3 linked regions of the Yarrowia lipolytica genome follow. The protein of the gene in region 2 purifies or fractionates together with the protein of the main gene of each other region. This does not show direct contact. Links are inferred from orthologs where the notes say so. Each region holds a gene or a part of one and is shown on either strand. Other genes may lie near its edges.

Region 1 (2,995 bases), about 1.5 Mb from region 2:
TCCACACCAACCGCCTCCAGATCTGCACTTGAAGGGTCTTCCTGTTGTTATCACGCACGTAAAGGAGGATATTTACAATGAGGATCCCGAAAACGATCCTCGGAAAGTGGTTTTGGAGGATATAATCGGCCTGGCCAAGATTGAGAGCATTGGCTGCGACTTCATAATCGCCACTCCCGGGCTGAGTTTGCAGTTGTAGTGACATAACAGGATTACCATTGACATAAAGGAACTTTTTTCTCTCTCGTCTCTCTCAACGCTTCAAACAGCTTCATAATATCTACTAATAGTGGTTATACCAAGTAATCTATTCCAACAAACACAGCAAGACATCTTCACCAGTTTAGCTACAAGTGTGTCTTAATATAGCCTGACAGCTTCTTCCCTACTTGCCCAACCTACAGTATGTACAATACTACAGCAGGTACGAGTACAATACCCAACAGTGACACAGACACAGGAAACACATGATACCAAATCTACTTTGTCACATATTGCTCCAGTAATACGGCCAATTTACACTCAACCTACTTGTACTCGTTGTTCCAATAACAGCTCCATACAACCTACTTATACATGCTACCTAGTAGTTGTTCCTCCTTAAACAATCTGGTAGTTGTCCGACGTCACTCGGGTCACCTCTTGGTAGGGGATGTTTTCGTCCTCGGCAGTGGCAGAGAAGACGTTGAGAATCTTGACGTTGCCCACTGTGGTCTCAGGGTCGTTGAGAGTGAAGGAAACCTCCATGGGGAAGAACTCGTCCTCCTGGTCGGCCTCAGCGGTGAACTCAAAGGCACCGGTAGAGGTGTCACCATCAGCAGTGATCTCAGGAATGATCCACTCGAGATGGTCGTCGAACTGGTCCCAGGTGATGGAGGAGTCGGAGATGTGAGCGTTGGAGGAGACCAGAGGCACAATGACAGACACGTTGGTCATCTTGCCGGTGAAACCCTCAGAGACCTCGTACTCCAGGGTCACGTCGTAGAAGCCGGGGTCCGACTTCGCAAACCAGCAGTTGAAGGTCAGAGGAACAGCCTCTTCCGGTGCGTTAGCAGAGTATCTCAGGACGCCGAGAGCAGCGCCGTTAGAGGGGAAGCCTCGAGAGGGGTCCTTGAGACCGATGATCTGGCGCGAGGAGAACAGCGCCTTGTCCACGTTGGGATGGGTTCGGTACTTGACGCCGGGGGCGTTAGCCTCGAGCGCGATTCGGATCTTTGTGTGGTCGGGGTTGCCGATTCTCAGCTGTACGTCTCCCTTGACCTCAGCGCTCTTAACAGAGCCGTCTCGACCGAGAGTCGCGGTGACAACCTCGGCGACAGTGAGATGAACGCCCTGGACCTCGGGATTGTAGGCAGAGGGAGCTGCTGCTGCGGGGGCAGTCTGCTGCTGCGGCTTTGACTTGGGGGTGGGCACGGCGATGTCAGCGTTAGCCAGCAGAGAAGCAGAGGGGCTGTCATCGAATCCGCCCTTCTTCTTGCCGAGCTGCATGCCCTTTCCTCGAGGAGCACGGGGCTTGTGGGTTGTCTCGGGGATAGGTGCGGGAGCAGCAGCGGGTTGCACAAACGAAGGAGCGGGGGCCTGGAAGGCGGGGGCCTGGAAAGATCCATGACCTCCAGCGTTTCCGGGCAGACCTCGCTTGGCAGCCTCCTTTCGCTGCATCTCCAGCTGCTTGGCCTTTCGCTTTCGATCTTCGGTGGCCTCCAGCTCCTTGTTTCGCTCAATGATTTCCTGAATCTTCTCCTCGTGGGACTCCATTTCCAAAAACGTCTGGATCTGCTGCAGAGACAGGTTTTCCCGGTAGCCCTGGGACACCACCTCGTCAAAGGCGCCGAGCAGGTCGAATGCGGCCAGCAGAATCTCCCGCTCATCCACGACACGTACCAACGAAGTGACCACCTGGACTAGCAGTCTCAGAGTCTCAATGTCCTGCAGAATGTTGGACTGACGGTTGGTGATCAAAACCACGTACAGCTCCTCCAGTGGCTGGTAAACGTATCGAACATTGTCGTGCTCCACGGTTGTGTGTTGTTTGGAGCCCTGGATGAGCTTGGGGAAGATGGCCAGCAGTCCGGCGACCTTCTCTTTGGGCAGATCTCGGAATTGACGCGAGATGATGGCTTTGCCGCCACGTGAGCATATGGATGCGGCTAAAACGACCTGTGTTAGTATATGCGCGAGCGATTCGGATCCGTCCAATTGCTTACCATTTTCCTCCTTTGATCGTGATGTGTGCTGGTGTGCTGATGTGTTGTCCTTGTTAGAGTTCGAGGTTGGAATATTGACAGAAACACTGGGTTCGCCCACAGAGGTTAGGAGTCACGTGTTTAAGCTCAACTTGTGCGGCTGGGAGTACCGATGGGAGTATGGGAGGGTGACAGGCAAATGTTGCCGTAACAAGAAGGAGTGTATTTGAAGGACACAGGTATGACACCAGTACGCGTATTTGTCGAACAAACGGATTTGACAATCTATTCTGAGCGTTCTTGGAGTGTTGATACTCCATATTTCCAAGTCGTCATCCAGTAAACGCGTCAAGTTGAGATTGTCGTAACTCTCCGTTAACTCTAGACACTGAAGTGTCGTGGAGAGTGGTCTGGAACGAGTTAATCACACCGTACGTACTGTCCTCTCCATGTTACACAGCTACTGGTACAGCACTTTGTTCTGTGGCGCGGGAGTCACGCTTTCTTATAGTGTGATTCCTTTCATATGTCGGCTATCAGCTCTCTCCATTTAGGGGCACCCTCATCACATGGGCTTGTTTCATTAAAGGGAGCGAGTCCTTAATTTCTTTCAGATTAGCGACAAGTAAAACAAATACTTACATACATACTCAGTATAGTAGGGACAACCAAATACGGTGCCCAGTAACCGCCACACCACTAGAAGTGTTATAGGGCTTAAAAGCGACTGAAACCCCTCTATAAAACCCCACTCGCTTCACCTCACCTGTTGTTTTTTATCATCCCACCACCATCCCACCACCATCCCATCT
Region 2 (3,762 bases):
ACAGCTTGTCAAACAGCTGCTGCTTCTGGTACACGAGCTCGACGATTCGGAAGTTGCCCTGCGACAGAGCCTCCTTTCCGAGCAGCGTCCAGTACGAGGGCTCGTCCAGAATCTGGGCCTGCTCCAGGGCCTCGGTCAGGTTGCCGCACTCGATGGCGAGATCAAACTTGACCTTAGGGTCCTGCACAAACTGCAGCGCAATCTCTGGGTAGCCCTTCTTCTGCAGGTACGAAATGATGGATTGGCCCACGAGGTTGGACGACTTGATGATTCGCAGCACCTCAGAGAAGTTCTTGTTGACCAGCGCCCGCTTGAACCGGTACTCGGTGGGGTCGATTCGGACCACCTCCACCTCGCCAGCTCGGTTCAGACAGTAGACTCGTCGGTCCTTAACCCGCACAATGTACAGAGTGTTCTCCAGAGTCTTGATGATGCCGGAGTCGCCGTTGAGCAGAGTGTACTTGAGATGGTTGAGAGTGGTGTAAAGCAGCACTCCGTTGTCGTCCCAGCACGCGGACTTGATTCGAATGGTCTCGTGAAGAGACGAAATGAACTTGAGCGTGGTGGCAGAAGCAATGGTCACGGTGTGTTTGGTCAGCAATGCCACGTGCTTGCCGTCCTTGCTCCAGTTGACATACTTGACGCCGGACACAGCAAGTTCGGCCACAATGGTCTTCTGGGCAACGTCCAGCAGGTAGACGTGGGAAGGACCCAGCAGGAGAAGTTGGCCCGACGAGCCGGGGACAACCACAATATCCTTGACCTGTTTGGGCAGCTTGATGGTTCGGGTGGTGGTGTTGCTCAAGTCCCGTATGTCAATGGTCTGGGCATTCTTGTTGAAGACGGCAAATCGGTTTCGGGCCACAAAGACGGCCTGAGCAGCGTTGCCGCCAATTTCCTCGGTGGCCTCAATGCCACCGCTGGCAGCGTCCTTGGGCAGATGGACCAGGTTGTAGTTAAACTGGTCCTTGTCCTTGGTGAGCAGCAGCACAGCCCGGGCAGCAGGGTTGTAGCTGATGGACCGAATGGGTGAATACTGCGAGCCGTACTTCTTGAGAGACACCAGGGGCATACTGTCCTGCTCTGAGTTGAAGTCAAACAGCTTGAGTTGCTTCTCCTTAGACATGTAGAGCAGCGAGTTGCCGTCAATGGTGGAGGCGGGTCGCTCTCGCTCCATCTTGAACACCATGATACCGCTCTCGTGGCCAGCAGCAAACAGGTTGATGTTGGGGTGAGCAGTGAGGGCCCAGAATTTGTCGTTCTCCCGCTTGAACTGCTTGATGAGAGTTCGCTTGTGCAGGTCCCAGGTTCGGATCGTCTTGTCCTCGGACACAGACACAATCACGTCCTGGTAGGGGTGGAAACAACACGACAGAATGTTGTTGGTGTGGCCTCGGCAGGTATCGACCTCCCAGGCCTTGGTGTCGCTCATTCGCCAAATCTTGAGGACCCGGTCGTCACCACCAGACACAATGAGAGGCAGAGTGGGATGGAAAGTCGCCCAGTTGACACCACCATCGTGGCCCTCAAGAACGTACTTGACAATACAGTCCTGGTTGCCAAACATGTCCTGGCCACCCTGCTGGGGATGTCCGCCGGGGCCGCCGGGACCACCGCTGTTTCGAGCAGCCATCATCATCTGCTCTTCGAACGACATGGATGAGCCTGCGCCGCCAGCAGACACGCCGCCGCCGGCAGAGTGCTTCTTTCGCAGGCCGGAAATGTCCCACACTCGCACGGTCTGATCCAGACAGGCAGACACAACCAGGTCCTCGGAGGGGTGGAACTGAGCACTCATAATGTAGTGCGAGTGGCCGGTGAGACAGGCAATCTCCTGTCGGTTTTGCCAGTTCCAGATTCGAATGGTCTGGTCATCGGAACACGAGATGATCCAGGGCAGCTCGTGGTGGAAGAAGACGGTTCGCACGTAGTCGAGGTGGCCGACGAGAGTGAAGAGACACTTTCGGGTCTGTAGCGACCAGACCTTGATCTTGTAGTCGTCGCCACAGGACACAAACAGCGGCTGGGTCTTGTGGAAGTCGACACCTCGAACGGGGCCATCGTGGTCCTCGAACCGGTCCACCAGGGTTCCCATTCGGTAGTCCCAGAGTTGGATGGTGGACGAGTGGAGCGAGACCAGGACCCAGGGGCGGGTCGAGTGAAAGGCTAGGCCTTTGGCTCGGGAAGATTTTGATTCAAACTGGGTTAGTATACGAGTGGAATCAGGATATGGCATGAGCTGACTACCGGGATGACACAACGCGTCACAACGTAAACAGGCCGTGGTCACACACATCTGGACACATCAAATGTGAACAAGACCGAGTAGTTGTCTTAAAGCAACAACCTCTGTTGTGAAGCAGCAGATTGGTGAACGACAAGGAGTAACGTGAACATGGGCAAACCAAGCCAGTGTGCCAACAGGTCATCATATTGTTGTCATTGCTACCATGTCGCTACCATGTCGCTACCACGTTTGTCCCATAATGCGTCTCGTCATGAGCAACGGTTGATCACATTTCACCCCCGCACTTCATTCCACGCTGTCTGTCGCTTCTGCGTCGCTTCTGTGTCGCTTCTGTGTCGCTTCTGTGTCGCTTCTGTCTGTCGCCCTAATAGTGTCATCGCCGGCGGTCTAGATTTCTCGCCCAATGGTCACCTCACCGCTCAAAAACCCGCCTCGATTTCTCGCCCAATGATCACCTGACCGCTCAAAAACCCGCCTCGATTACTCACCTTAGTTAGCATCTCCATCTTGACGGATTGTGAGATGTGTTCTCAGTTGAAGAAAGATCGAGGTAGTGCGTTCTCGAAGTGACGTGTTGGGAGAACGTGGCACAAAGTTTATTTTGACGGAGAATTTGGGGAAGATGGGGAGGACACTAACGGTGTTGTGGATGGGAAGTGGGAGGCATTGGAGCAAATATAACAAGCTGATTCGGACAATTGTAGCCCAAACATGATACGGTCAAATTTTGGTCCGAATATCTCGTGTTTTGGTGGAATTAGAACAGTCTTTTGTTCACATCCCCGTCGTCTACTCCCAAGTAAACTCTCAACTGGAGACAATAAATTATTTAAGTTGTATCACTACAGAAAAACGCATACTGCAGAAAATAATACGAAAAATGTTATGTTATAACATTGTATTCATACATTATGTACTGTAGCCCTGTAGGAATGTATGTTGTAATATGTATGATGTTGTAAAAATGTCTTTAAATAAAATATATCATGTTGTAAAAATGATATTAAAAATATTAGTATGTTATAAAAATGTATTATGTCATTATAAAAATATATATATAAAAAAAAAAACGTGACAATACTCGCATGTCGGGAATTTCGTATGAAACGACCTACATTCTGTACTCGTAGTAAACATGATAACAGTAATTTTTTCAAAGTGGATTTTCAAAGCTTCGATCTAAGCAACACTGAAAAACCCACTTTTTCTCGATATCTCCAGTAGTTACGCCATTCGAATCAGCCCGGCGTGGGGAGTTCAATGATACAATGATGTCCACTAACGGTGTACTCTATAGTGTACTCTTTACTCAATGTGGATGTGTGGACTCTAGCAGATCATACCTAGTCCAACTGCGTATCGTCACTTTGCGACCGTCTCAATGACATGAAAAGTCCTCAATTGGTTTACGTTCTCTTCGACTATCATCTTACTTCACATCCTTTCACGTTCCTTCACGTCCTTTCACGTTCCTTCACGTCCTTTCACGTTCATCGTCTATCTGAATATGTTGA
Region 3 (2,048 bases), on a different chromosome or scaffold from region 2:
TTTCTGTTCAACGACAGATTATGACCAGCAACTCATTGACTCAATGAGACGACCCTTCAGCGAACAGCCGACACAAAATCGCATTGATTATTTGCAAGTATGAGTACAAGTACAACGCCTGTAACTTCAATGGTTCTTGGTTCAAGAATTTAGTTAGCACAATATGCCGGTACTTGTAGACGTTCACCGCTGAATGTCATTGTGATGAATAAGCGGTCGATACTGTTCAATTGAGCCTGTACAATCATGTTTACACCCGCAAACTTGGTCTATTGTCCAAGTACAAGTACGCAGCTCACAGCTGTCGCCTGTCTTAGTTACAATTTGATCAAGCGTAACAGCACTTGGAGGATCGACTAACACTTCAATACGACTATTCAATTGAACCAATTACGATTGCAAAACACACAAAAACACAATATTTATCTATAGTACAGTACTTGCAACGCAAGCAGATGGCCCTCACCGAGCAGCTGGGTCACAGTCGCGCTACATGTTGCACAAAATCCATCTTATTACCTCCATATACATCCTCCATCTAGCTGAAAAACTTGCCAGCTCGCTGCGACCACTTCTGGTACACGTTCGAGATGGTTTGTTCGTTGATCTCCACTCCTCCGTACGCAATGCTTTCCTTGGCGGGTGCGGGGGTGACTCTACTTGCGATGACGACGGGATCGATCTCGAGAATGACGCCCGAGTCGACGGCCTCATCGATAGCCAGAGCCACCAGGTCAAAGTGTTCGAGCACAGACCGCTTGTCGAACGAGTGCTTGAGCAGAATCTCCAGCGCGTCCTTGATGCCGGCAACCAGCTGGTACAGCATCACCTCGTTCTCCTCAAACGATCCGACCACGTACAGAGTCACGTCCACAACCGTCTTGTACACGACCACCTTGTTGTCGAAGATGATGACGTCACCATTCTGTCGATGGGTTTTCTGCGCCAGGCCCTTTTCGAACGTCTGCTGGTCCTTGAGTGTCGTCAGGGTCTGAAGCTGCTCGTGTGATTGCACGTCGCCGTGTGGGGGCGAGTAGTACTTGGTGAAGAGTCGCTTTCCGTCCTTGTCCAGCAGCAGCACTGCCTCTACCGAGTATTCCGACGTCATGATTCTGTGTGGTTGTGTGAATGTGTCGTGATCTGCCGTTCTAGAGAGCAGTTAGGTGTTATGTTACACGTAGCGAAGTTTAAAATGCCCAACCTCCATCTCCAGTTTAAAACCTTAGTGACAAGGGATGGAGACAGACAGACACACCAACCTAGTGACGACAAACGCGGCACACGCACAATCCGCATAAATACAGACACAAACGCAGCCACAGACACATACGCGGACACAAACGCAGCTATCCTACACCACACACACAAAAGCAACGCACACGATTGCAACACACATCCATTCCTCTCTCCCACACTTCCTCCATGTCAGACTTTTACTTTGCTCTGGCCCGCATATCAGTGGCGCAACTGCTTCGAGTGGCCGGTATCGAACGATGCCCGCCTTCGGTGCTGGACACAATCACAGACCTGTACATTCGGCATCTCGATCTGCTGGCGACGGAGACGATGAATCTGGCGCATCACGGAGGCCGATTTGACGCCATCATCACAGACGTGGCACAAGCCATGGCAAACACACATGTCATCAAACCAGTGGTGCTACTCGACCCCTACGATACCGATCCTCAGGGCGACCAGGGCATGCAGGACTTTGTCAAGTGGGCCAAGGGACCTGGACCAGCAGAGGCCCGGAGAATCAGCAGAGTAGCAAACAACACTGGCCAAGCTACACAGCCAGCAGCAGCAATGGCGCCGTCCACGTACGGCATCACGGCGAAAAAACAAGAGGACGCCGCCCCCCAGGAAGAGGTGGAGTGGCTGCAGGGACTCATCAACAAACAGACCAAGATGGTGGGTCCAGCGCGTTTCAAAGATACCGTGCTAGGACCGTCATTCGAAGACAAGCTGGACCTGAAGATTGCAGGAGGACCCAGTATGGAGGAGTTTTTCGAATCGAGACAGGAGACGACCAAGTCGTGACGGACAAG

What was found.
Region 1: the proteins of YALI1_E23691g (region 2) and YALI1_E38593g purify together in Saccharomyces cerevisiae (affinity purification with mass spectrometry; 8 studies listed by BioGRID). This does not show direct contact. The link is inferred for Yarrowia lipolytica from reciprocal best matches to the Saccharomyces cerevisiae genes COP1 and RET2.
Region 3: the proteins of YALI1_E23691g (region 2) and YALI1_F17709g purify together in Saccharomyces cerevisiae (affinity purification with mass spectrometry, with the first as the bait; 5 studies listed by BioGRID). This does not show direct contact. The link is inferred for Yarrowia lipolytica from reciprocal best matches to the Saccharomyces cerevisiae genes COP1 and RET3.

The regions. Positions count from the first base shown.
Region 1 is NC_090774.1:3,857,590-3,860,584, forward strand, and holds YALI1_E38593g (uncharacterized protein), read right to left. Parts: upstream 1,756-2,995; coding exon 601-1,755; downstream 1-600. Other genes in the region: YALI1_E38561g (uncharacterized protein), read left to right, coding at 1-199. UniProt on the Saccharomyces cerevisiae protein: The coatomer is a cytosolic protein complex that binds to dilysine motifs and reversibly associates with Golgi non-clathrin-coated vesicles, which further mediate biosynthetic protein transport from the ER, via the Golgi up to the trans Golgi network.
Region 2 is NC_090774.1:2,367,654-2,371,415, reverse strand, and holds the start of YALI1_E23691g (uncharacterized protein), read right to left. Parts: upstream 2,297-3,762; coding exon 1-2,296. UniProt on the Saccharomyces cerevisiae protein: The coatomer is a cytosolic protein complex that binds to dilysine motifs and reversibly associates with Golgi non-clathrin-coated vesicles, which further mediate biosynthetic protein transport from the ER, via the Golgi up to the trans Golgi network.
Region 3 is NC_090775.1:1,770,025-1,772,072, reverse strand, and holds YALI1_F17709g (uncharacterized protein), read right to left. Parts: upstream 1,109-2,048; coding exon 539-1,108; downstream 1-538. Other genes in the region: YALI1_F17706g (uncharacterized protein), read left to right, coding at 1,423-2,040. UniProt on the Saccharomyces cerevisiae protein: The coatomer is a cytosolic protein complex that binds to dilysine motifs and reversibly associates with Golgi non-clathrin-coated vesicles, which further mediate biosynthetic protein transport from the ER, via the Golgi up to the trans Golgi network.